Caenorhabditis elegans: one gene and its partners. The protein of the gene in region 3 purifies or fractionates together with the protein of the main gene of each other region. This does not show direct contact. Each region holds a gene or a part of one and is shown on either strand. Other genes may lie near its edges. The genes, in order: athp-2, rfc-2, him-1 and czw-1.

Region 1 (4,659 bases), on a different chromosome or scaffold from region 3:
TTTGCTCATTTTTGGTCGTTTTATCTTAAAACTGAAAATTTTAAAAATTACGAAGAGTTTAAAAATCTAAAAATTAACGAAGATTTTTAAAAATAATTCGAAAAAACTGAAAATATTGAAAATTAAAAAATTAACGAAAAGTTTACATAAAAATTCTAAAAACTCTGAAAATTAACGGAAAATTCTTTTAAAAATACGAGAAATTCTGAAAAAAAAAGAATTTTTCTGAAAAATTATTAAAAATTCTAAAAATTAACAAAAAACTCTTAAAACTGCGTATTTTCTGTTTTAAATTTTTTTCTGAATTTCTGAAATTTTTCTTTGGTTTTTCATCAATTTTCGGTAATTTTTTCGCAAAATTTTGAACTTTTTGTTATTTTTTAATATTTTTCGTCAATTTTTAGAATTTTTCGGAATTTAATTTTTTTATATTTTTTCTGAATAATAATAAAATTCTGAAAACTAACGGAAAACTACTAAAAATTAAACATGAAATTTTTTTTTTCGCAAATTTTAAAATTTTTTCTGAGCTTTTCCAAATTTTAGTTAAATTTTTGAATTTTTCATCAATTTTCAAACTTTTTCCGTTAAATTACCGATTCTTTTTGTCATTTTAAAAATATTTCTGAATGAATAAATCGAAAAAAAAATTTCCGGCAGAGCATTTTTTTATTGAAAAAAAATATGTATTTTATAAAAAAAAAAGGAACTCACGAGCCGCGGGATCCCGTTCCTCTTTTTTCGGCTTCTTCTCTTTTCGTTCATGATCCCCAGCCTTGAGAGTATTCGGAGCACGTCCACGTTGCAGAGCAGGAGTTTGAGGACAAATTGGCTCAGCGCCAGACATTACATCGGTCCAGTAGAGATTATCGATTTTTTCCAAAAACTGGAATTTTAGTGTGTAGCGTTCACTGTCCGGCGACATTTGACAGCAGTTTTTAAGGAATAAACGGATTTTTTGACGGGATCCAATGTTTTTTGAGCGGCTGAAAATTGGGGAAATTAATTTTGATTTTCTTCCTCCAAACTGTAGGGGTACTGTAGGGTTACTGTAGCTTGGGAAATTATAAAAATTTCAAAAAATATCGAAAAATAAACGTAAAATTCTTTAAAAAATCGTTAGTTTTCATTCAATTTTTCGCAATTTTGTACAATTTCCGGTTAATTCTTACATTTTTTCGTTAATTTTTTGATTTTTTCCAAACTTTTGCCATTTTTTTCGTAAATTCTAAAAAAAAAATTTCGCTAGTTTTTAGAGAGAATTTAGCTTTTTTCTTTGTTGAAATTTTGGAATTTTTTTCCCAAAAAAAATTATAATCGAAATTTATAAAAAATAGTGCAATTTTTTCTGGATTTTTTTGTTTTAAATACAAAAAAGTTACTCAAAAAATTCAGAAATTGCCAAAAATTGTCAAAATCCGTCACTATTAACTTCCGACCAATCAGCACCTGACTCCGCCCAATTCTGAACCAATCAGCGGCACAGATCGTCGCTGATTGGTTCAAAAGTGGGCGTGGCTAGGCGCTGATTGGTCAGAAGTTCCTATAACTGAAAAACTGCATTTTTAGAGTCAAATTTCTTCTTTTTTCCAATTTTCGTGTGATTTTCCTAATTTTACTCACAAAAGTCGATCAAAAGCAATTCCTTCTCTATACATTTCTTCTTCCGACACCGCTGGATCAAGAATCTGTAGTGTGTATCGAAAAGTGTCAGGCGGCGGTAAAATGGGCTCTTTGAGCTCACTTCCACCCTCAAAAGATGGATTTTGCTCTTCGATTTGGTTGGATTCGACGATTTTCGCCAGAAATTTGCGGCTTTTCTCGGCGTAGGCGACTTCTTCGTTATTGAAAAATCGATCTTTTAAAATGTGATAAATATCATTTACGAGATCTTCGAAACGGCCACGATTCGTATATTTATGAACAATTAAAGTAATTGGAATTTCGAGAGCTGTTGGGAAGTTACAGAGCTCTTGCTCGGCTTCTCGTTCACTGGCAATTGCTTCGAAATATGTTAGATTTGATTTTCGAGTAAGAGAACATGACCAGGCTGTTGAGTTGAGTAGAATCATTCGATTGAAATATTCTCTGAAAAATTGAAGATATTTGACAAAAATGGTTTTTTGAGCATTTTTTTCGGTAAAAATTGGGTCCTGCAATTTGTCAATTTTTTTCGGGATTTTTTGCTCATCTTTTGGTAAAAATCGGAGTTTTTTTCCTTTTTTCAGGTTTTTTTAAAGAAAAAAAAGGGGGTTTTTTTTGGTTTTGAACGTTTTTTTTCGGGCTTTTTCAAGGAAAAAAAAGAAGGTTTTTGTGTTCATTTTTTGGCAAAAATTAATTTTTTTTGACAAAACCGAATTTTTTTTTGCAAGAATGGGATTTTCTTGTATTTTTCGGCAAAAAGATGGGGGGGGGGGGGGGTTTTCGCATTTTTCTGGAAAAATAGGTTTTTTGCATATTTTTTCTGCTTTTTTTTTGTAAAATAGGTTTTTTAAATTCCTTTTTAATGTTTCTTCTTTGTTTTTTTCTGACAAATTGGGGTTTTTTGCGGAGAGAAATCGGTTTTTTTTCGTTTTTGGGAAAAAAAGAGGGGTTTTTTTAATAACAAAGATTTTTTTTGGGTTTCTTGGCAAAAATGGGTGTCTTTTTTTTGCAAAAAATAAACGAGTTTTTTGGTTGTTTTTTGTTTTTGTTTGACTGGGAAGAATAGGTGTTTTTCTGCGAAATTGGGGTTTTTTTCGGTTCTTTTCGAACAAAAAAGGTTTTTTTCGGATAAAATTGGAGTTTTTTTATTTGGCTCTTTTTTTCAAGTGCTCCAACCTATTTTTCCAACAAAAAAATCCGAAATTTAAACCATTTTCCCATTTGCTTACTCATGTGTCAAAAAGACTTCTTTTGTAGCCTTGCAATAGAATACTGGCGTATCCCGAGTGACTCCATCTGGCACTGATTGTGGTTCAAATTGTTGCTTGTGAAGCAACGGCATGTGCTCGCCGAGTTCTGTTAAAATTGGGGGAAAATTATAGTGCATTTTCTAGGGATGGGTCTCACAGGGAAAAGTATACATTACTGTAGGAATCGAGAATTTGGTCTGTGTTTTTTTTTATCGGAAAAAAAATGTAGAAAAATGTACAGAAAACGACGAGGAAAGTGAGAAAATTTATCAAAAATTTGAATTTTTTTAATCAAAAAATTATGAATTTTCGAAATTTTCTGGTTTCTTAATTTCAATTCTACGTATTTTTCTGGTTTTTGAATACAGTAATCTTAACTCACTGCAACTTTTTCCTCACGAAGGACGAGGAAAAGTGGTTTCTAGGCCATGGCCGAGGGGCCGACAAGTTTCAGCGGCCATTTATCTTGCTCTGTTTTCCGCCTGTTTTCTTTCGTTTTTCATCGATTTTTTTCGTTTTCTCTTAATAAAACTGATAAATAAATATTTTTTGCAAATGCTAAAACAATTTCCAAGTAAAAAAAATCATGTATTCAGTGGGCAAGCAGCGGTGAAAGTGGTCAATGTAAAATGATGGATTACGGGAATACAAAACCTAAACTTTTTCTGAAACATGATACATATGCTGCTTAAATGCTGAGACTACCTGATTTTCATAACGAGACCGCTAAGAAAGTTTTGAGGTTTCCAAAATTCAACTTTTTTGGTGAAAAAGTCGAGATTTTCGCACAAAAAAATTGAATTTTGAAAACCTCAAAACTTTTTCAGCGGTCTCGTTATGAAAATCAGGTAATTTCAGCATCTAAGCATCATATGTATCATGTTTCAGAAAAAGTTTAGGTTTTGTATTCCCGTAATCCATCATATTACATTGACCACTTTCACCGCTGCTTGCCCACTGAATGCATGATTTTTTCACTTGGAAATTGGAAATTGTTTTAGCATCTGCAAAAAATATTTATTTATCAGTTTTATTAAGAAAAAACGAAAAAAATCGATGAAAAACGAAAGAAAACAGGCGGAAAACAAAGCAAGATAAATGGCCGCTGAAACTTGTCGGCCCCTCGGCCATGGCCTAGAAACCACTTTTCCTCGTCCCTCGCGAGGAAAAAGTTGCAGTGTAACTTTCAGACTTCGCGGTGAGACCCATCCGCAAAAAATTTTTCAAAATTTTTCAAAAAACACAGATAAAAAGTAGGTTTTGAACACCTTAAAAGAGGTAAATTTACAACAAAAAATCCAAATTTTCTAGGATAAAAATCAATTATTCATGAAATAAAAGGACCTGAGATAGGAAAGACGGCGATGGAAATTAAGAAACTGCCCACAAAAATTACAAAAAAAAATACAGATACAGAAATATTGTACAAATATGAAAATATGATGAGACCAGTTGATGGGATAAAGATCAAAAAAATTGGAAATAAATGCGCCAAGACTACAGTACCTGGGGTCTCGAAGCGACAATTTTTGTTAAGTGCGTGTGTAAAGGTGTGCGCCTTTAAAGAGTACTGTAACTTCAAAAATTCGTGAATTTTCATCAATTTTTCATAGTTTTTCGATAAAAAAGACAATAAATTTTCACAAATTGTGAGAAAAACTCGACAAAAATTCACAGTTAAACACAGTACTCTTTAAAGGCGCACACTTTTTTCAATTTTCAACTTATCAAAAAAAAAGTTTTCAACTTATCAATTTGGGTCGTG
Region 2 (7,706 bases), on a different chromosome or scaffold from region 3:
ATGGGTCTCACCACGATGGGTCTTTCCACGATGGGTCTCACCACGGTGGGTCTCGCCACGATGGGTCTCACCACGATGGGTCTTTCCACGATGGGTCTCACCACGGTGGGTCTCGCCACGATGGGTCTCGCCACGATGGCTCTCGCCACGAAGATCTCGCAGCAACATTTTTTTAATTTTCCAGAAGGTTCTAGAACAATCCAGAATTTTTTCGAATTTTCCAGAAGGTTCTGGAACATTCCAGAATTTTCTAGAATTTTCCAGAAGGTTCTAAAGCTTTTCAGAATTTTCCAGAAGGTTCTGGAACATTCTAGAATTTTCCAGAAATTCCCAGAAGGTTCTGGAACATTTCAGAATTTTCCAGAAGTTTCCAATTTCCCTTCCAAAGACGGAAAGTCAATTTTTCATAAACTACCGTAATCCTACCGTACTCCTACAGTACTCCTACAGTACTATTACAGTACCCCGACCATATTCCACTACTAACCGCAAACCTATATCTCTTCAAAAGACAAAAACACAATTTTTCATAAACTACAGTAATCCTACAGTACTCCTACAGTACCTCTACAGTACTACTACAGTACCCCGACCATATCCCACCTCTAACCCCAAACCTATATCTCTTCAAAAGACAAAAACACAATTTTTCATAAACTACAGTGATCCTACAGTACTAATACAGTACTCCTACAGTACTAATACAGTACCCCGCCCATATTCCTCTACTAACCACAAACTAATATCCCTCCAACAGCCGAAAACACCTTGCCTTTGTAAGCTATGACGTCACTTGTTAACAAACGGACACTATTTTTTTATATATAGGTAATGATTAATTATTAATTATTAATTATTAATTATTTATTTATTTATTTATTTATTTCAAAAAAACTTTTTTCGATGTCAGGAGTCCTGACTCAGGACAAGTCGTCGTCGGAAGAAGAAGACTTGGAATGCTCACTCCGAAGGTTCCATGGCTGTCCATCGCACGTACTGACCGTGAAAAAAAATGGAATGAGTTTATCCTCTTCGCAACTTGAACCCAACGGACATCAAAGTATCAAAGTAAAGTAAGTAAGAGCTCGAGCCCAGATGCTCGAGCTTGAGCCTAAATGCTCAATCTCGAGCCCAAATGCTCGAGCTCGAGCCCATATGCTCTATCTCCAACGCGAAAAAAGTTGTAGCTGTTAAAAGTCCATGAAGTGCATCCACTTGCCACGAGAAGTGAGAATCAGCCCGAAGCCGCCACAGTCGTACATATTTTCTTTATTTAAACCGGTCAGATACACTGATAGTATTATATTTAACATATTTCTATCTGCAAAAATGCTCTTCTGCCCAGAATTCTTCTGATTCCATTTAATTCTTGCTAGAAATCGCTGAAAAAACAGCTCGTATTTACAATTTTTTGTAATTTCCGACTTCCCATTTTATCAATTTTACTATTTCTGTGAAAAAAATTCGAAATTTCGTTCAAAAATAGCGATTCTGGCTCAATTTCATGAATATCTGTTGTTTTTTTTGGCAAAAGTGGCCGCGGCCGAGGAGGAAACCTTGTCCCCGCTCGGTGTACTCCTCTCGGATAATATTTGTTTTTTGAATTTTAAGCGCGCCAAACTGATTTTCTTTGTCATTCCATGAATTTTCGTCACGTTTTTCGAGTTTTGTATCGAATTCTTATCAAATTTTCAATATTTCCAGCTATGTCAAAGTCGGAAAAGCAACAATTAGCGCCATGGGTGGAGAAATATCGTCCAAAAGTGCTCGCCGATATTGTCGGCAACGAGAACATTGTCGAGCGGCTCAAAGTGATCGGACACGAGGGAAATGTGCCGAATATTGTTTTGTCGGTGAGAAGATTGTTGAAAAATTCATTTTAAAAGTCAAAATGTGAAGTGAAAAATCGAATTTTTCCGTTCAGGGTCCCCCAGGCTGCGGAAAAACGACATCAGTGTGGGCGTTGGCTCGAGAATTGCTCGGCGATAAGGTTAAGGAAGCGGTGCTCGAGTTGAATGCGTCGGACGAGAGGTTTGTGAGAAAAAACCCTGAATAACTGGGAAAAATTGCAAAAAAATTGACTTTTTCGCTAAAAACTTTGAAAAAATTGAATTTTTCTCAAAAAAAAAATCTCAAAAAACTGCCAATATTTCCAGAGGAATCGATGTGGTCCGTCATCGTATCAAAACGTTCGCCCAGACGAAGGTGACACTTCCAGAAGGCCGTCACAAGATTATCATACTGGACGAGGCCGATTCGATGACCGATGGTGCACAGCAGGTGCGGAATTTTGCCGAAAAACTTGGAAATTTGAATTCAGCTCAACGAGAGCTTTGATTTAAGTATGAACATGACTAGGCTGCGATAATTTTGGAAATAAATCTGAAAGTTTTAGGCTTAGGCTTTTAGGCTTAGGCTCAGGCTTTAGCTTAGGCTCAGGCCTTGACTTTGGATTAGGTTTAGGCCTAGGCCTAGGCTTAGGCTCAGGCTTAGACTTAAACGTAGGCGGGATTTTTTTAAGTAAAAAAAGCCGAAAAGTGAGTGTTTTTAGTAGATTTTTCAGTTTTTTTTTGACAAAATCTAGATAAAATCGGAATTTTCTGACGAAAATATCAAAGTTCCGCAATTTTTGAGCTTTTTGCAATGAAATTGGTACAAATTTCGAATTTTTTTTAAATGAAAAATGCCATAAATTAAATGGTCAAAAATCCGGAATTTCTAGCGTTTTCCGAGACAATTTGCGATTTTTTTAAAGAGAAAATGTCAAATATCAGAAAATTGCCCGTTTTTTCCACAAAAAAAACCGAGAAAAATGGTAACTTTGCACACACAATTTCACTTATTTTTTCAGGAAAATTTACACGATAATTAATCAAAATTTTCGTGTTTTTTTTTTTGAAATTGAGCCAGTTTGGATGTCAATCTACCAGTTTTTCTGCGAGGAATTCGATTTTTTCCAATGAAAATCCCCCCAAAAAATGCAATTTTCATCCGAAAAAACCTCCTAAACTCGAAAAATTAGTCCCCCGCCACGATGATTAAAAAATTTCCAATTTTTTCGAAATTTTCGGAACCCAGTCATGATTATACTTAAATGAAAGCTCTCAACGAGCTCAATACGAATTTTGCATTGAATTTCCAAAAAAAAAAAACCAAATTTTCAGGCTCTCCGCCGCACAATGGAGATGTACACAAAGACGACAAGATTTGCGTTGGCCTGCAATCAATCCGAGAAGATTATTGGTACATATTAGGGACGGCAAACGATTTTACCGGCAAATCGGCATATTGCCGGAATTGAAATTTCTGGCGAATTGCCGGAATTGAAATTTCCGGCAAATTGGCATATTGCTGGTTTTGAAAATTTCTAGCAAATCGACAAATTGCCGGAATTCAAATTCCTAGCAAATCGGCAAATTGCCGGAATTGAAATTTCTGGCAAATTGGCAAATTGCCGGAATCGAAATTTCTGGCAAATTGACAAATTGCCGGAATTGTAATTTCTGGCAAATTGGCAAATTGCCGGAATTGAAATTTCTGGCAAATCGACATATTGCCGGAATTAAAATTTCTGGCAAATTGGCAAATTGCCGGAATTGAAATTTCTGGCAAATTGGCAAATTGCCGGAATTGAAATTTCTGGCAAATTGGCAAACCGGCGATTTTCCGATTTGCCGAATTTGCTGACAAAAAATTTCCGAACGGCACTTGCCGTCCACACTAATACAGATCTCGGCCTGGAAACTCCCCAAAAAATCGATCGATTTTTGCCCCTTTCAGAGCCCATTCAATCCCGTTGTGCCCTGCTCCGCTACACAAAATTGAGCCCCGTACAGCTGTTGACACGTGTCAAGGAGGTTGCAAAAGCCGAGAAGGTCAACTATGACGACGGGGGTCTTGAAGCGATTCTGTTCACTGCACAGGGTGATATGCGACAGGCGTTGAACAATTTACAGGTAGAAAATCCGGGAAAAGGCTGAATTTTGAGCTGAAAACGCTGGAAAAAATTGCGAAAATTCACAATTTTCTAGACCAGAATTTTTACAATGTATGTGCTTAAAAGTAGTGAAAAACCGGAAATTTTAGCTAATTTAGTTGGAATTTGGCGTTTTCCGTAAAAAAGGTGAAAAAAATCATATTTTTAAAGGATTTTTTTTCACTAAAAATTGACCTTTTCCAAATTTTCTTCAGTGAAAATCTAAAAATGTTATTAATCTCAAAAATTCCAAAATAAAATCCAAAAAAAAAAATTCAAAAAATTTTAGGAAACTTTTTAAAAATTTCAAAAAAAAATCCTAAAAATTTCACAACAATCCCAAAAAATTCCAGATAATTCCAAAAAAAAAAAAAACTTTAAAAAAATTTCCAAAAAAGATTTCCAAAAAAGATTTCCAGGAAAACTTGGCCATCCTTCCGAACTCCATAATTTTATTTTCAAAATTTTGAAAAATTGGTCTAAAAATATAAAATTTCGCTGAATGTTCTTTTTTCCTTGAAAATCTCAAAAAGTTTCATGAAAATTGGATTTCGTACCATTTTTTTATTTAAACATTTTTTTTTGTTGATTTCACCAGTTTTTTACATTTTGCAACAAAAAAACTTAGAATTTTTCCTAAAATTGAAATTTTCATTAAAATTTTCTCATTTTTTCAGTGAAAATCATGAAATTTCATCAAAATATTGAAATTTTTTACATTTTTCAGTTAATTTTTTTTTTCGATAAAGGACATCTAAAAAAGGGGTATTTTAACAATTTTTTCCCCACAAAAATTGCAAAAATGCCGATTTCCAGTATAATTAAGTGGAAATTTCATGAAAATGTGACTTGTGTGTTTCTCTATCCGAATTGATGGTTTGAATAGTGGTATTCTCGGCTGAAATATGCAATAAATACCGTATTCCAACCAACAATTCGGTGCAATAGAGCACATTTGTCACTGGAGATGCGGAAGCTATGCCCAATTTTTCAATTTTTTTTAGTAAAAATCTGAAAATTTAAACAAAAATTGCGTTTCAAAACAAATTTTCCATTTTTGGGCTGAAAACTTGTAGAAAATTTAGAAAAAGTCTTATTTTCAAGTAAAAACTATGTAAAATATGCAATTTTCCGGCTAAAAAAAAGTAAAATGTTCCGATTTTCCAGGCAACAGTGAACGCTTACGAGCTTTGCCGAGATTTTCAATTATTTTTCACGTCGATCCTCATATCTTCTCAATGTTTTTTTTTCAAATTTTTTTTTCAAATGAACCCGATTCTTGTACAGAATATGTAGTTTTGGGTCTCGCAGCGAAATTGCGCGTTTTATTAATTATTTTTATTGCACTTTAAACATATTTATAGATGGATTTTCCTCGGAACTTTAGCAATTTCATCCCAGTTGCCGAGAAATGCTAAAAATTTGGGTACGGCAACTCGGCAATTGCACACTTTTTGAATTTTTCAATTTTTGATGCAAAAAATTAATTTTCTTGGATTTTTCAAATTTTGCTCAAATCCCTGCTAAAAATTCGAAGATTTTTTAGCCTTTTCTAGTTTTTGCCGAGGAATGCTATAAATTTTGGCTCGGCACCTCGGTAACTGAACTAAATTTCCCTATATATTGTCTGTGACTTGTGTGTTTCTCTATCCGAATTGATGGTTTGAATAGTGGTATTCTCGGCTGAAATATGCAATAAATACCGTATTCCAACCAACAATTTGTGCAATAGAGCACATTTGTCACTGGAGATGCGGAAGCTATGCCCAATTTTTTTTTAGTAAAAATCTGCTGAAAATTTAAACAAAAATTGCGTTTCAAAACAAATTTTCCATTTTTGGGCTGAAAACTTGTAGAAAATTTAGAATGTCTTATTTTCAATTAAAAACTATGTAAAATATGCAATTTTCCGGCTAAAAAAGTAAAATGTTCCGATTTTCCAGGCAACAGTGAACGCTTACGAGCTTGTGAACAAGGAAAATGTGCTGAAAGTCTGTGATGAGCCACACCCGGACCTTATGATCAAAATGCTCCATTACTGTACGGATCGCAAATTCTTCGAGGCATCCAAGATTATTCACGAGTTTCATCGGCTTGGCTTCTCCTCAGACGATATTGTATCAACGTTGTTCCGTGTGGTAAAGACTGTCGAGCTGTCGAAAAATGTGTCCGAACAGCTGAGAATGGAGTATATTCGGGTGAGAAAATGGGTGGAAAATGAGCCAAAATGAGCGGCTAAAAGCCGCCCGGGGTGTTCTGAAAATTGTCAAAAATCCGCGTTTTTTGGAGCTTTGTTTTGCCGAAAAACGCGAAATTTCGTTGTTAGATCATCGGAATATCTAAATTTCGGCCTTTGTGGCTGAAAATTGCCGAAAACCACCGGATTTTAGGGATTGGTAGCCTAAAATTGGCGAAAATCGTGAATTTCGAAGACTAGTTGCCGGAAATTGCCGAATTTTAGTTTTTGGTTACCGGAAATTGAGTCCGGCAACTCGGCAACTGAACTGAATTTCCAATTGAAATTTCCGGCCAACCGTAAAATTGCCGGAAATGAAAATTTGCGGCAACTCGGCAATTTGCCGGAATCGAAAGTTTCCGGCAAATCGGCAATTTGTCGGAATTGAAATTTCCGGCAAAACGGCAAAATGGTGGAATTGAAAATTTTCGTCCAATTGGCAAACTGCCAAAAATAAAAAATAAAATTTCCGCCACATTGCCGGAATTGAATTTTGAGGCAAAATGGGAAAATAGCGGAATTCAAAAATTTCCGGCAAATCGGCAAATTGCCGGAATTGAAATTTCCAGCAAAACGGAAAATTGCCAAAAATCAAAATTTCCGGCAAATCGGCAAGTTGCCGGTATTGAAAATATCCGGCCGATCGGCAAGTTACCGGAAATAAAAATTTCCGGATAATCGGTAAATTGCCGAAATTGAAATTTCCGGCAAATTGGCAACTGAATTGAATTTCCCGGTATATTGTCTGTGACTTGTGTGTTTCTCTATCCGAATTGATGGTTTGAATAGTGGTATTCTCGGCTGAAATATGCAATAAATACCGTATTCCAACCAACAATTTGTGCAATAGAGCACATTTGTCACTGGAGATGCGGAAGCTATGCCCAAATTTTAATTTTTTAGCCCAAAACCATTAAAAAAAAACAACGAAACAATTTTTCAGCAAATCGCCATGTGCCATATGCGTATCGTGCAGGGACTCACTTCGAAACTTCAACTCTCCCGTCTGATTGCCGATCTGTGCCGAGTTTCAGCAGCGGCAACGGCTACGAGTGCCTAAAATTGTTGCCGAGATTTTCAATTATTTTTCACGTCGATCCTCATATCTTCTCAATTTTTTTTTTCAAAATTTCAAATGAACCCGATTCTTGTACAGAATATGTAGTTTTGGGTCTCGCAGCGAAATTGCGCGTTTTATTAATTATTTTTATTGCACTTTAAACATATTTATAGATGGATTTTCCTCGGAACTTTAGCAATTTCATCCCAGTTGCCGAGAAATGCTAAAAATTTGGGTACGGCAACTCGGCAATTGCACACTTTTTGAATTTTTCAATTTTTTGATGCAAAAAATTAATTTTCTTGGATTTTTCAAATTTTGCTCAAATCCCTGCTAAAAATTCGAAGATTTTTTAGCCTTTTCCGGTTTTTTCCGGAATTCCAGTTTTTGCCGAGGAATGCTATAAATTTTGGCTCGCCACCTCGGCAACTGAA
Region 3 (7,942 bases):
TGAAACATTATGGTCTAGAAAAATCGAAGGATGTCTAAAAAACTCACCAATACATGAACTATTAATCCGAAGATTACCAATGAAAACAAAATACGCAAAATACGCATTTTTGTGTGACGCGTGTGTCGGAGAGAAACCGATTTCACAAACTAATTTAAGTTATAATTTGTTTATTTCAATCGCTACGTGTGCCACGTGTGCCACGTGGCCACGCGTGAGTAGGGGCGGGGCCTATTTCGCAACCACCGCACACTCTTTTCGCAAGCCTCGCACGTTTTTTCCATGATATTGTTGCATTTTTTCAAAAGAAAAACGTGCGAGGCTTGCGAAAAAAGTGTGCGGTGGTTGCGAAAAGGTCCCGTCACTGCATCCTGTTTTGGGAGGCCCCACGAAAAGGGGAGCAGAACGAAAAGGCGATCTGCAAAAAGGGGATCTGCGAAAAGGGGAGATACGAAAAGGGGAGATACGAAAAGGGGAGCAACGAAAAGGGGAGCTGGCACTGTGCCAAACGCACAAAACGCAATTTTTCTCACGCAACGCACGTTGATTTTTGAAATTTTCTTCTAGAAGATACGCTTAACAACACGCGACGCGTAACATCGGAGCATCGTTGTATCGTTTTCTTCGAGAAAAATAGCGTTTGGCACAGCCAGATCCCCTTTTCGTTGCTCCCCTTTTCGTATCTCCCCTTTTCGTATCTCCCCTTTTCGCAGATCCCCTTTTCGTTCTGCTCCCCTTTTCGTGGGGCCTCAAACGTGACTTCCAAAATCGCCGCGAGACCCGAACGACTGAGTCTGTGTCCCTTTAAATGTATATTTACGGCAGCCTTTCAGAGAAATTTTTCAATTCATTGCGATTTCCTTCACATATTTCGTTGTTTTTTTTAATTTAGTACTATCAGAAAAATAAAAAATTGACTCTACCATGCAAAAAAAAACAAAAATTTACACTAGGTTTGACGAATTTAACTACTTCTCTTCGATCTGTTGCTTTATGTAAATAGTTGTTTTCTTATTGAAAATTGTATTTTTTATTGATGTTCTCAGCAAGTTCCGCGTACTAACTCAGAGTTTTTGAATCAGCGTGGCATTAGGAATGCTCTTTTACAACATTCTCTGTTGTTTTTTCTCTAATAATCTTTAACTTTTCAATACTAACTTCTTATTGTTTTTATTACCTTTTGTACCATCTTTATCACGAAATATTGCAAGAAATTCATTTTAATATTCCTCCAAAAACAACACTACGACACTCCGCAGTAACATTTATGCGTTTCGTTTAGCGTCCTCACATTTCAAATTTGAACCTGTTCATCTAACGATACTAAGTGATTTTTCGATAATTTATGCTTTATTATTGTTATTTCTGACAACAACGGATTGAAATTATATTTTTCTATTTAAGGATCATCAATTTCACTTATCTCCCCGTTATTTTATCGATTATGAGCGACCCAAAGAAACACACCCAGCGTAAGTTGAATTTTTTCAATATAAATCGATAATGTTTTTACATTTACAGGCATTGTTGAAATGGGAAAATTTCTAAATGTTTTCCTCACAGCTGAGCAGGTTTCGTCAGTGGAGAGGGTGAGATTTTATCGATTTTCCCAGTATTTTATTCACTTATTTCAGTTACTATCACTGGGCGTTTCACCGTTGAACCTTGTCCGTCTTATTCAAAACCTTGGAACTCCCAGCACACAGAGTTCACCAAGCAATCGGGAAAATGCATTGTCATGATTTAATCAGCTCCTCAAATTATCGGCAAACCTGGTCATAATGTATATTCACTTTTTTTAAAATAAACTAAACTGGTTTCTCATTATTATCTATTTTTATTTATTCCATGTATGATATTGGTTTATCTACCAAAAATTACCTCACCATTCTTATTCTTGTTCAACTATAACTTTTTACTTAATTCTTCAGACTAATAATGCGTGGCGGAAGCTCGCTGGATAGTTTTCCAGGCAAAGGAACTCTCCACACACTCGAGATCGAAAACTTCAAATCTTACAAGGGAAAACATACTATTGGACCCTTTACAAGATTCACAGCTATCATTGGACCAAATGGTTCAGGAAAATCAAATCTTATGGACGCAATTTCGTTCGTGCTCGGAGAGAAGCCAAGCAGTTTGCGTGTTAGAAAGTATGCGGTAAGAGAAAAAGTATAAAATATAGAAGATTTTAATCAATAATGTTTAGGATTTGATTCATGGTGCACCAATTAACAAGCCAGTTGCTAAGAAATGTCGTGTCACTATGAACTACAAATATTCTGACGGAAAAGTCAAGGCATTCACCAGAGGCGTCAATAATGGAACATCTGAACATCTTCTTGATGGTCAAACTGTCACAAGTGCAGCATATTCACAAGAAATGGAAAGTATCAATATCTTCATCAAGGCAAGAAACTTTCTGGTATATCAGGGAGCTATCGAAAATATTGCCATGAAAACTCCAAAAGAACGTACTCAACTCTTCGAGGAGCTCTCACGATCACACGAGTTTCAAGCAGAGTATGAAAGATTGAAAGTTGAGATGACAAAAGCTGAAGATGATACTCAACACAATATGAACAAGAGACGAGGAATCGCTCAAGAGAAACGTGAGGCAAAAATGGAGAAAGATGAAGCTGAAAAGTATCAAACCATGAAGAATGAGCTGGCTGCAAAATCGACGATGCTATTTCTCCATCAATTGTTCCATTGCGAACGGACGATCGACGAATCAAAAGAGGAGATCAACGCTCAGAAAAAGACGATTGCAAGTCTCGAAGCAACTAGGGTATGATGAAGGCAATTCTACTAAATGACGTTCTTCCAATATTTTTCATTCATATTTTGTGATAAACTTTAGAAAAATATTTTCTTTATCTGAAAATTACTTATTTAACTTGGAACAACTTAAAAAGCAGTTCTTCCAAGTTATACAAAAGTTATTTTCCGGTGAAGCTAATATTGTTCAATATTTTATCGTAAAATTTTGATTGATTGATTTATAGTATATAAAAATAATCAAAATTATATATTACAGTCGAAAGAAGAAGCGAAAATCGCTGCGGTTCATCAGGAGCACCGGAAAGCTCTCCGCGAGGTTCAGAAGATGACAAGAAAACTCGATCAGAAAGAGACGGATTTGGCTGAAAAGCAACAAAATATGCTGACATTGAAAGTTTCCGTTGCTCACGAGCACAAGAAGCTGGAAATTGCGAAGAAGATGCTTGCCGCTGCAGAAAGTAAGGCAGAGAACAACTCGACTCAGCTGGCGGATTTGAAGAAAAGCAAAAAAGAGCTAGAAAAGAAGAAGGCCGCATATGAAGCAGAGATTCAGGATATGATGCAAAGAGGCGAGTTAAATCTTTCGGATGAACAAGTACGTGAGTACGGACAGCTGAAAGATCAAGCTCAGCGAGAATCAGCAATGGTTCAAAGAGAGCTATTGATGGCCGAACAAGTGTTCGAAGGTGATAAGAGTTCTCTAAATCATGAGCTTCGACGCCAAAAGGAGCATCAAGAAAGAGTTAAAGCGAAGGAAGGTGATGTGCGAAGAATTGAAACTCAAATTGCAACTCTTGCTCAAAGAATCAAGGAAACTGAAGAAGAGACAAAGATCTTGAAAGCTGATCTTAAGAAGATTGAAAATGACGTTGTTATTGATAAATCAGCAGCAGCGGAATACAACAAAGAGCTTGTAGCTGTCGTTCGTCAACTCTCCGAAGCTTCTGGAGATTCTGCAGAAGGAGAAAGAAATCAAAGAAGAACGGAGGCACTTGAAGGATTGAAAAAGAATTTCCCGGAGAGTGTGTATGGTAGACTTGTCGATCTCTGTCAACCGTCTCATAAACGGTTCAACATTGCCACCACAAAGATTCTTCAGAAGCATATGAACAGTATTGTTTGTGATACTGAAGAGACTGCTGCCAAGGCAATTGTTTATCTGAAGGTTTGTTCTTTTTTCACTTCCAAAATTTCAATTCATAATAACTAATTTCCAGGATCACCGTTATCCCCCAGAAACCTTCCTTCCAAATGATGCACTAGTTGTTAATCCACTAAATGAAAAACTTCGTGAAATCAAAAAGCCAGCTGGAGTGAAGCTCGTCTTCGATGTCATCAATCCTCAACATCAAGCAGCTAGAAAAGCTCTTCAATTCGTTTGTGGAAACGCATTAGTTTGTGAGAGTCAAGAAGATGCTAAGCAGCTTGCATACGGTGGAGGAGAGCTGAAAGATCGTTTCAAGGCAGTTTCGATGGACGGAACTCTGTTCCAACAATCTGGAGTTATGTCCGGAGGTTCTGCTGATTTGAGACAAAAGTCCAAGAAATGGGACGAGAAAGTTGTCAAGTGAGTTTTTATTTTATTTTTTATTAAATTGAAAAAAAAACATTAATATTTTTCCAGACAACTCCGAGAAAAGCGGAACCAACTGAACGAAAAAATCGCGGATCTTCAGAAACATCGTCGTCGTGAACTCGAAGTGGAAAGTGTACGCTCCAAGATTAATGGAAATGAGCAAAGATTGGCAATGATGAAGCGAGATCTGAAGAATATGCGAGAAATGCAGTTGGAAAGACTTCAAAATGAGCTTGAAGGCATGACCGCGGAGATGAATATGCTTCCGGTGATTATTTTTAGTGACCAACGGTTCTGGAAAAAAAAAATTATAACCCCAAAAAGTGCTCAACTTAACGAATTTCGTAATGAAAATTCTCAAAAATCTTTCAAAAATTTATTTATTTTGGAGCAAATTTTGGAGCCATTAGACCTCCTTTTAAATTTGTAATCTGCAAAAATTGATATATTTTCAGCCGCGAATCTCGAATTGTCAAGAAAAACTTGAACGCAGTGAAAGTACTTTAAAATCTCTGCAAACGAAGAGCAATGAAGTGGCTGATCGAATTTTCGCTGATTTCTGTACTCGTGTTGGAATCGCATCGATTCGTGACTATGAGAATCGTGAAATGCGTATCAAGCAAGAAATGGAAGACAAGCTTCGATCATTTGACGATGATATCCAAAAGTTGGCCTACGAAATTGACTTTGTCACCGAGCAAGATGGCAATCGGAAAGTTGAAGTTGAAAAGGAGAAAGTACGTTTTTCATTTTTTTGTAAAGAAACTCCTTATCAGTTTCTTTAAGATTCTTAAAATTGTTTTGTTTACCTTATTTGAAATATTTTTATTACAGGTTTCACAAATCGACCGACAATATAAGGACATGAAGAAAAAAGAGAAAACGGCGGCGGCCGCTTTGAAAGAGCACACGGAATCCATGGAGCAAGACAAGGAAGTGCTGGAAGAGAAGAAGGCCTTATCACATAAATTGGAAACCGAGTGGAATGAGGTCAAAAAAATTGCACAAGTTGCGATGAAAGACTTTACAAAGGCTGAAAAAGAGCTTCTTCGTCTTGAAAGTTTGCTTACTAAGAAGCAATATGAACGGCACTCTCTTCTTCATTCTGTGAAGCTTGGGCAAATTGCGTTACCACTCAAATCAGGAAGTATGGCTGACGTTGAATATGAGGAAGATGATGGAGGTTGGATATTTATTTTGATTTTGATGTTTTGAAAAAATCGCATTTTCACTTTTCCATAATTCAGTTTTCAGCTTTTAGATATATATTTCATAATTTTTGTCTCCCTGTTTCCTTTCAAGTTCCAATTAATTTCAGATGACACAGCTTCTCAGTCTTCTCAATCAGCCACCGATGGTCCAAGTGTATCAGAGGAGCAAATTCAACGAGAGCAACACATCAAAATCAACTACGACTCGTTACCGCGAGAATATAAAGATGTTAGTGCTGCCAAGACATGTTTCGGTTTTCTGAGCAAACCGAAAAAATACTGGCAACAAAAATTTATTTATTTTTTCTGAACTATTTTGACCCTAAATTTTTTCGATTTTTGAGCCAAACAAAATACGAAAAAAATCTACTTTTTCGGTTTAAAAAAAACCAGCAGTCCTGTTAGTGATGGTTGCTGATCAAAAATTATTTGCTCTTTTGCCAACCCCGCCCCGCCCTGCCCCCCTCCGTGTTTTAGTTCATTTCTAGATTCACACGATTTGCATTACAGGTGGATGACGATGATGGTGTACGGCAAATGTCGAATCGACTCAATGTGGAAATCGATGAACTGCAGAAAAATGTGTCAAAAATGAATGCGCCGAATTTGAAAGCCAATCAGAGAATGGCAGAGGTGAAAGAACGAGAAGCCGAGTCGACTGAAGAACTTGAAAATGCTCGAAAGAAGGCGAAGAGAATTCGGCAACAGTTCGAGAAGGTTAGTTATTAAGAAATTCCAAACGTTTAGTATCTGAAAATGTATCGATAAAAATGAAAGTTTAGGAGAGCTTCGAATCCATTTTAGACATTGAAAAATTTAGATTTTACACATAATTTTGTGGGCCAAAATAAAAAAAATTCCTTGACTAGATAAAAACTAGAAAATTAGCTAAAAAATATATATTTAAAACCTACAAAATGCATTATTTTTTAAATGTCAAAAATGGATTCAAATCAGGAGTGGGCATCAGTTATTTTTTCAAAGTATAGAAAATCTCTTGATTTATCTGAAAAGAACATTTATTTCAGTCAAAAGATTTGATAAAGTACTCAAAAAATGTTATTTTCACAGATATCGGGTGATTTTTTACATTTTGACATTTTTTAAATTAAAAACGTTGAACCAACATGTTTGAATCACCGAAAAAAAAACCGCTTCATTAAAATAATTTTTTTGCGATAATTTTCCTATACTGAAAATAAGAATATTCTTGAAATTCCTTGAAATGAAAATGTGCACCTTCTGGACACCAAGTGACAAAAACATTAGAGATAAGAGACATAGACATTCATAACTTTAAAATGACAACAGTTGTACCCATATTGTCACTCAATCTGTCCCCTCTATCTCTCACACCTCTTCAATTTCACTTTTCTCATATATTTTATCGATTTTAAAATATTGTTTTTTTCAGGTAAAAACCGATCGCTACCGACGCTTCCAAGATTTCTTCGATCCTGTGGCCAACACTATCGATGACATTTACAAGCAACTCTCACGAAATACTTCTGCTCAAGCCTTCCTCGGAGCTGATAACATGGAAGAGCCCTATCTGGATGGTATCCAGTACAATTGTGTAGCTCCTGGAAAACGTTTCCGTCCGATGGATAACTTGTCTGGAGGAGAAAAGACAATTGCCGCGTTGGCACTGCTTTTTGCAGTTCACGGACGTAATCCTGCTCCGTTTTTCGTTCTCGACGAGATTGATGCTGCTTTGGATAATACTAATATTGGAAAGGTATTTATTTAAACTGTTCATTAAAATTAAATTTTGCTTCAAAAGATAGAAAAATGACTGTAATGACCGAATATTACTGTTGTAAAACACAAAAATTATAAAATAAGGGTAAATCCTCCGGTTTTTCTGCATATTTTTGATAGTTGATCTAAAAAACTATCAAACTATCAAACTTTTAAGCAAAATTTCAAAACGATTTTACTCCGCCTTTAGTATAACCTGCGAGAAAAGATTGTAACGTTTTTTTTGTAATTTCAGGTCGCTTCGTACATCTGTGAATCAGCTCGTGAGCATATGCAAATTATCGTCATTTCTCTCAAAGAAGAGTTCTACAACAAAGCTGACTCACTCATCGGAATCTTCCCATATCCAGCCGCTTGTACAACATCTGGTGTTCTCACTTTCGATTTGACGCGCTTCAAACAAATTGGTCTCAATGAAATGACTGAAAATCCACCAACACCATCGATTGCAACATAAATTATATAAATTTTTGACAACCGCGACTATCAAATCATCTGTATAATTTCATTATTACTATTCCCTTACCCCTCATTATTTCTTAATTATCAAAAACCGATTCACTCAGTCACACAGTTCCCCGCATTTAAAGGTCTCAAACGTTTTTCCCTC
Region 4 (5,292 bases), on a different chromosome or scaffold from region 3:
AATTTCAACTCTAAAAAGTTCAATTTGAATTGTTTTTTTCGGTTTTTGAGTCGTTTTCGCGGAATAAAAGTAAAATATTTCAAAAAAATCGATTTTTCGCAGTGAAACAACAATTCACACGGAAAGGCGACGCGTAAAAATCGATTATTTGCAAGGAAAGAACAATTTACACGTGAGGAGACGAAGTGAAGAACGTAGAACGAGTTCTATTTAAAAAATTCGAATAAGATAACCTGAAAAATTGTGATGAAATGTTTTTCAGAGCCGAAGGAAATTGTTCAATGAAATTATTGTACAAATTGGTTTGCAAGCTATTCATTGAACATTAAGAGCGATATTTTATTGATCATGATAATTATTTACAGATAAGGATAATATTACATTTAATGAATTACATAATTTCAACAAAAAAACAATAATTTGTCATGAAAACGGAAGAATTTGGAGGATGAGCAGCTCGGGCGGATCTGAAAAATTTAAATTAGAACTTTCATAATGACATCGCTGATATATAAATGAAAAAAGATTTTATCTGGTCTATTATCAGATTCGCTTAGTTTTTAGAGGCTTTTGGCTTAAATGAATGCAATTACAAAATTCTACACAATTCAATTGAGAAGTCTACGGTTTGGAGTCTTAACGTTCACAGAGACGTACAATCGAAAAGAACTGATCGCCCGCCACTATACAGAAATTCCGACTTCAAAAGAGCAGTGACAGCAAATTATAGCTGTTTCAACGATTTCAATGCCTCTATAAGTCCATATATGTTCGATCCGAAGATATTTCATTAATTTTTTGTTAAACTATTTCAATTTTTGTTCTTAAATCAATTTTTTCCTACTTTCTACAATTTGAGAATATAATACTCACGTGGGTGGCCTGGAGAAGCACATCCCTGTTTCATCCGTGCAATTTCCCTCGATTCGACGAAGTCTAGAAATTAAAAAAATTGATAAAATATGAGAGGGAAAGAGATTAACAAAAGGAATACACGAATTAAGGAGGGCGAATTAACAAGTCACGGTTGAAAAATACTTTTTTTTGCGAAAATGGCTGAAAAAAACGAAGAAAAACAATTCAAATTGAACTTTTTAGAGTCGAAATTGATTTTTCTCCCCCAAAAAACAATGAAGAAAATCATCATTCAAAACCGTGCGGAGGTTGCAGAAATGGGCGTATTGTAAGGCACGGTTCTGTGGGCGTGGCCAATCCCCCGAGTTGGGAATCCCCCCAGTTGGACATCCCCCGAGTTCTTCGGGTCTCAGTTTTGTTCAGTCTCTCGTTGTCTGCATGTCCGAAGTACGCAAACACGGATGTACACCGTACATTGGCGCCAATAATCATAATTATGCGCGCGTGGAACGAAGTTTGATTTCGATTTCAAATCATTTTACAAACTTTTGTTTTTATCGTTCAAAGGATTTTAAAATCGATTTTCAACGCGTTGCAACGTAATAATTATACGTAATAAGATCTTATTCTTCATAGAAACGTTATTGTTTTTATTCACGCGGCGCTCTTTTTTCAAAAAGTAAGCAATCACGAATGCTGAATTCTCAATTAAACATTTTTTAAATTGACTCTTTCCCCAGTCACTTGCCTGCAACTCATCTCCCGTTATTAATTTTCATCTCTGTGAACGCGTGAGTAACATTTTTCTGCTAAAGTGAGCGCACCGGTGTCTCGTTGTCGTTTTTATGTTTTCTATTTGCGGGAAATTTAAATGCTCTTGTCTTCATGTATTTGTTAGTTAATAATTCCGTAGAACATTTTCTTTTTCAGGCTGTGAAACTTAAAAAATGGCGTCATCCGAGGGATCCTATAGAGATCTTGAGAAAAAACTGAAAAATGGACTTACTTCAATCTCGCAGGACATTGTGGACAAGTATGGAAACCTGAAAGTGTCACTCAATGTTAACGCGACAGCCAAGCTTATTTTCGACCGACTTGAGAACCTCGAGGATATAGCTGAAATGTCTACTCGAAATCTGTCTAACTTAATTGATCAGACAGCAAAGGACAGCCCCGAAATGCTCGCAGAGATTAAATCCCAAGCTCAAAGCTGCGAAAATCTGGTGGAATTCCTGCAATCGGTAATGGTTCGAAAATAAGCATATAAAACAATTGAGTTTTCAGATGAAAAATGTCGAAGAACAATTGATAATTATGCGGAGTAAAACAACGAATCGTGTAGAATGGGGAACTGCTATTCTTGCTTGTAAAGATTTTCTCAATGACACAAACATGCTGCTTGAAGGAATTGGACGAGACGGTTTCGACATGAGTGTTCCATTGAAGCATTTTGCCGCAGAATATTCGGTTTTAAGCTACAATTGTCGTTACCAATTGTCCGCTGACTACGAAAGAGCAATGAATGTTCCAAAACTGTCAAAACAGAAATGTGGAGATCGTACAAATGTTTCTTTCTCAGTATTCAATGTTGGAAGCGTGGAAGATCAGAAAATGCTGAACGAAACTCTAAGTGCTATGAATATGATTGGACAATTACCAGAACGACTGGACGCTTGGAAAATCGTTATCTTGAACGTGTTCTGTGAAGCGATTGTTGCTAGCCGCGATGGTGTTGACGTATATATTGTGGATAATCCAACACCTGATCAGACAAGATTCTTGATAAACCAAAAACCACGTGGCAAGAAGGACAAGACTATTGATGTCGCAAAAGTTCTCGAGTGAGCGAAAACCACTTTAAAATTCTGAAATTTAATTAAATATGGTTGTTTCAGGTCAATGGAAGTGTTTTTTACGAAGTTGCACTCCGTTCTTCATTCTCACGAACTGCTGGACGCGACTGGAAAGACTTTCACGTCGATGATCGGAAGCGTTATTGAGGAACAACTGATAACTATGATACTGAAAGATGTAATTGCGATTGCAGCACCCGTCACTGAAACTGCTGACGAAGATCAGGAGATGTTCATTAATTTGTTGCAAATTGGAGAGGTCTTTGTCGAAAGAATGAAGGAGCTCGGATTCTTTTCTCAGAAAGCAAAGTTGCTGTTCACTCTTGACACGGACACAATTTTTGTGACTCGTCGTTGCTTTGCGATCGTTTCAAAAGCGAATAAATTGATAAATGAAACGTATGACAAACTGGTTACAGTTGGAGTTGATGATTCAGCCATCAAGGATATTGATTTGCTTGCAAAGGCTCATACACATGCCGAACATTTTGCTAAAGAATATGGAAAAGATCTTGGACGTCTTTGGAGCCATAATGAAGATTCGCAGTTTCCATCATTCTTCGCTTTCCAGAAATGTACAGTCAGGTAATTTTTTAAAGTGTTTATTATTTTTTTCTAAAAAATAATTTTCAGTGAATCAACTATCAACTTTGTCAATCTTCTCCGTGATAACGTGAAGGCTGCGTTTGCCTGTGAAGATGAAGGTGCTCGTGCGAAACTCGCTCTTACCGCCGAGAATATTGTTCGTCTCTACGTGATTCTCACACCAAGGAAGCATGCTGAGTTGTTCAGTTCGATCCCGAACATGGCTGCCATTTTTTACAACAACTGTCATTATATATCACACTGCATTATGACGATGTCGTTTGAGGCTAGTGGTGACAATCAGAAGACGTTATTGGAACCATTGCTCCTTGATTCTGTTATCAGATTGCGTACTGTTGCCGCTGATTGCATGGAAAAGACACTGACAAGATGCCGTCGCGAAATGACTGCTTATTTGGAGGATCATAGCATCTTTGAACACTTGCCTGCAAGTTATAAGACTACAAAGAATACATTTGCTGCTGCTGAAGAGATGTCCGAGTCGGCTGATATTCTTGTTCCGAGAGAAGAGCCAAAAATTATCAAATGTCTTGCCGCCTGCCTTCTTCATATTCGCCTTATTGCAAAAAATCTTCGTGAACCTTTGACTGAGGTGGTATACTGTAAGGTGATTGGATCACTCGTCTCGTTCCTGTTGGATTCTCTTGTGCGCCACGTTGTCACCACTTCCGATTTCCGCGAAAATGATGCTAACGTGATGGCTGACGTTTTCAAAAGACTTTTGGAAGTTGTTGCCAATATTGTCGCCTATAAGGAGCAGACAAAAGTGACCGATTTCTGTGCTCGAGAGTATTTCCGTCTTAATGAAATTGTGTTCGTTCTTGGAAACAGAATGCAGGTTGGTTTTTTTTCAAATATCGTGTAAAGTATTGTTTTGATGAAAGTGAAGTTTTGACCATGGAACTTTAGAGAAACTTTTTTAAAATAAAAAAGTTCTTCTAAAACAAGTGAAATTGCGAATATTTAAAGCAATTTATTTTCAAAAATTGGATTTTTTCAAATATTGGAAAAAGGAAAATATTAAAAGTTACCCTTTTTGAAATAGTGAAAAATCAAAAAAACACCCTTGTTTCGGACGTCGACTTTTGATGTTTTGATTTAACATAAATATGAAATTTACATGTGTTTTGTTCCGAAAGTCTAGAAATTATAAATAATTTTTATGCTAATTTTTCAGGATATCGAGCATCGATGGTTCAACGCTAAGGGTCCAATGGCAGAACATTTGAGCCGATCCGAAGTTGTTGGACTGATTAAAGCATTATTCGCCGACTCGCAACATCGTTCTGATCTTATCGCTCGTTTATAATGTGTATTAAACTAATTCATATTCTCTTCCACGCCAATACATTATTCATTTTTAATTTTTAACTGGCGTTGTGTTTCACTGTTTTACCGGTTTCCAGTATGTTTCCCCCAATGTTTTCTGAATAAAGTTAAACATCGGTGACGGTTTCCGATCAGTTCGCACTCGACACAATAGCCTTGGAATGTTGCCAACTTTTTTCAAATGCATTCCGTTGGCGCCCTCTGGAGAGTGCAGACAACAAGACGCCACTTTGAAAGGTCGGGGGCGCCCACCAGAAGGCGTATGTCATATGATGGTGGCACAGATGAAGGCGAAAGTCGAGCTTCATCACATTGAACCAGTTGTGACTTTTAATCCCGTCCGCAAGGGCCGCCCGTTTCCTTTCCCGGGCGGGCGACAATACGTTCTACTCTACTTATTTGTTTATTCTATTCTATTTCTCTCTGCAGCTTCTGCATTTATCCACCACATCGCAACAGCTTTCCTTTTTTCCGTTTTCTTCATATTCCTGAAGAAAATGAAAAGTGGTAATAAACAATTCGCGTTTTTTGAAGTGCCATGATTACTGTAGTCTTTTATATGTTTGGCTTTTGGTGGATATTAACTTACTCATTTTTTAAATGAAATTTGATACATCGCTTGATTCCTAGGTGATATTTCGAATCTTAT

The links.
Region 1: the proteins of him-1 (region 3) and athp-2 fractionate together in Caenorhabditis elegans (co-fractionation; one large-scale study listed by BioGRID). This does not show direct contact.
Region 2: the proteins of him-1 (region 3) and rfc-2 fractionate together in Caenorhabditis elegans (co-fractionation; one large-scale study listed by BioGRID). This does not show direct contact.
Region 4: the proteins of him-1 (region 3) and czw-1 fractionate together in Caenorhabditis elegans (co-fractionation; one large-scale study listed by BioGRID). This does not show direct contact.

The regions. Positions count from the first base shown.
Region 1 is NC_003280.10:4,338,523-4,343,181, reverse strand, and holds the start of athp-2 (Bromodomain adjacent to zinc finger domain protein 1A), read right to left. Parts: upstream 3,001-4,659; 5' UTR 2,987-3,000; coding exon 2,874-2,986; intron 2,089-2,873; coding exon 1,624-2,088; intron 987-1,623; coding exon 715-986; intron 1-714.
Region 2 is NC_003282.8:1,345,612-1,353,317, forward strand, and holds rfc-2 (Replication factor C subunit 2), read left to right. Parts: upstream 1-1,702; 5' UTR 1,703-1,706; coding exon 1,707-1,853; intron 1,854-1,924; coding exon 1,925-2,031; intron 2,032-2,156; coding exon 2,157-2,280; intron 2,281-3,164; coding exon 3,165-3,243; intron 3,244-3,780; coding exon 3,781-3,956; intron 3,957-5,919; coding exon 5,920-6,174; intron 6,175-7,155; coding exon 7,156-7,272; 3' UTR 7,273-7,366; downstream 7,367-7,706.
Region 3 is NC_003279.8:4,951,657-4,959,598, reverse strand, and holds the start of him-1 (Structural maintenance of chromosomes protein 1), read left to right. Parts: upstream 1-1,931; 5' UTR 1,932-1,938; coding exon 1,939-2,160; intron 2,161-2,209; coding exon 2,210-2,791; intron 2,792-3,040; coding exon 3,041-3,949; intron 3,950-4,001; coding exon 4,002-4,351; intron 4,352-4,408; coding exon 4,409-4,628; intron 4,629-4,815; coding exon 4,816-5,097; intron 5,098-5,194; coding exon 5,195-5,543; intron 5,544-5,678; coding exon 5,679-5,800; intron 5,801-6,081; coding exon 6,082-6,288; intron 6,289-6,985; coding exon 6,986-7,309; intron 7,310-7,567; coding exon 7,568-7,789; 3' UTR 7,790-7,942. Other genes in the region: enu-3.3 (ENhancer of Uncoordination), read right to left, coding at 48-107; mzt-1 (Mitotic spindle organiZing protein (MOZART) homolog), read left to right, coding at 1,445-1,472, 1,522-1,589, 1,635-1,742. UniProt on the Caenorhabditis elegans protein: Involved in chromosome cohesion during cell cycle and in DNA repair. Required for chromosome segregation during mitosis. Central component of cohesin complex. The cohesin complex is required for the cohesion of sister chromatids after DNA replication.
Region 4 is NC_003282.8:7,943,086-7,948,377, reverse strand, and holds czw-1 (Centromere/kinetochore protein zw10 homolog), read left to right. Parts: upstream 1-1,785; 5' UTR 1,786-1,802; coding exon 1,803-2,096; intron 2,097-2,139; coding exon 2,140-2,696; intron 2,697-2,750; coding exon 2,751-3,293; intron 3,294-3,341; coding exon 3,342-4,152; intron 4,153-4,491; coding exon 4,492-4,623; 3' UTR 4,624-4,758; downstream 4,759-5,292. Other genes in the region: F20D12.12 (uncharacterized protein), read right to left, coding at 424-467, 874-907. UniProt on the Caenorhabditis elegans protein: Essential component of the mitotic checkpoint, which prevents cells from prematurely exiting mitosis. Required for the assembly of the dynein-dynactin and mdf-1-mdf-2 complexes onto kinetochores.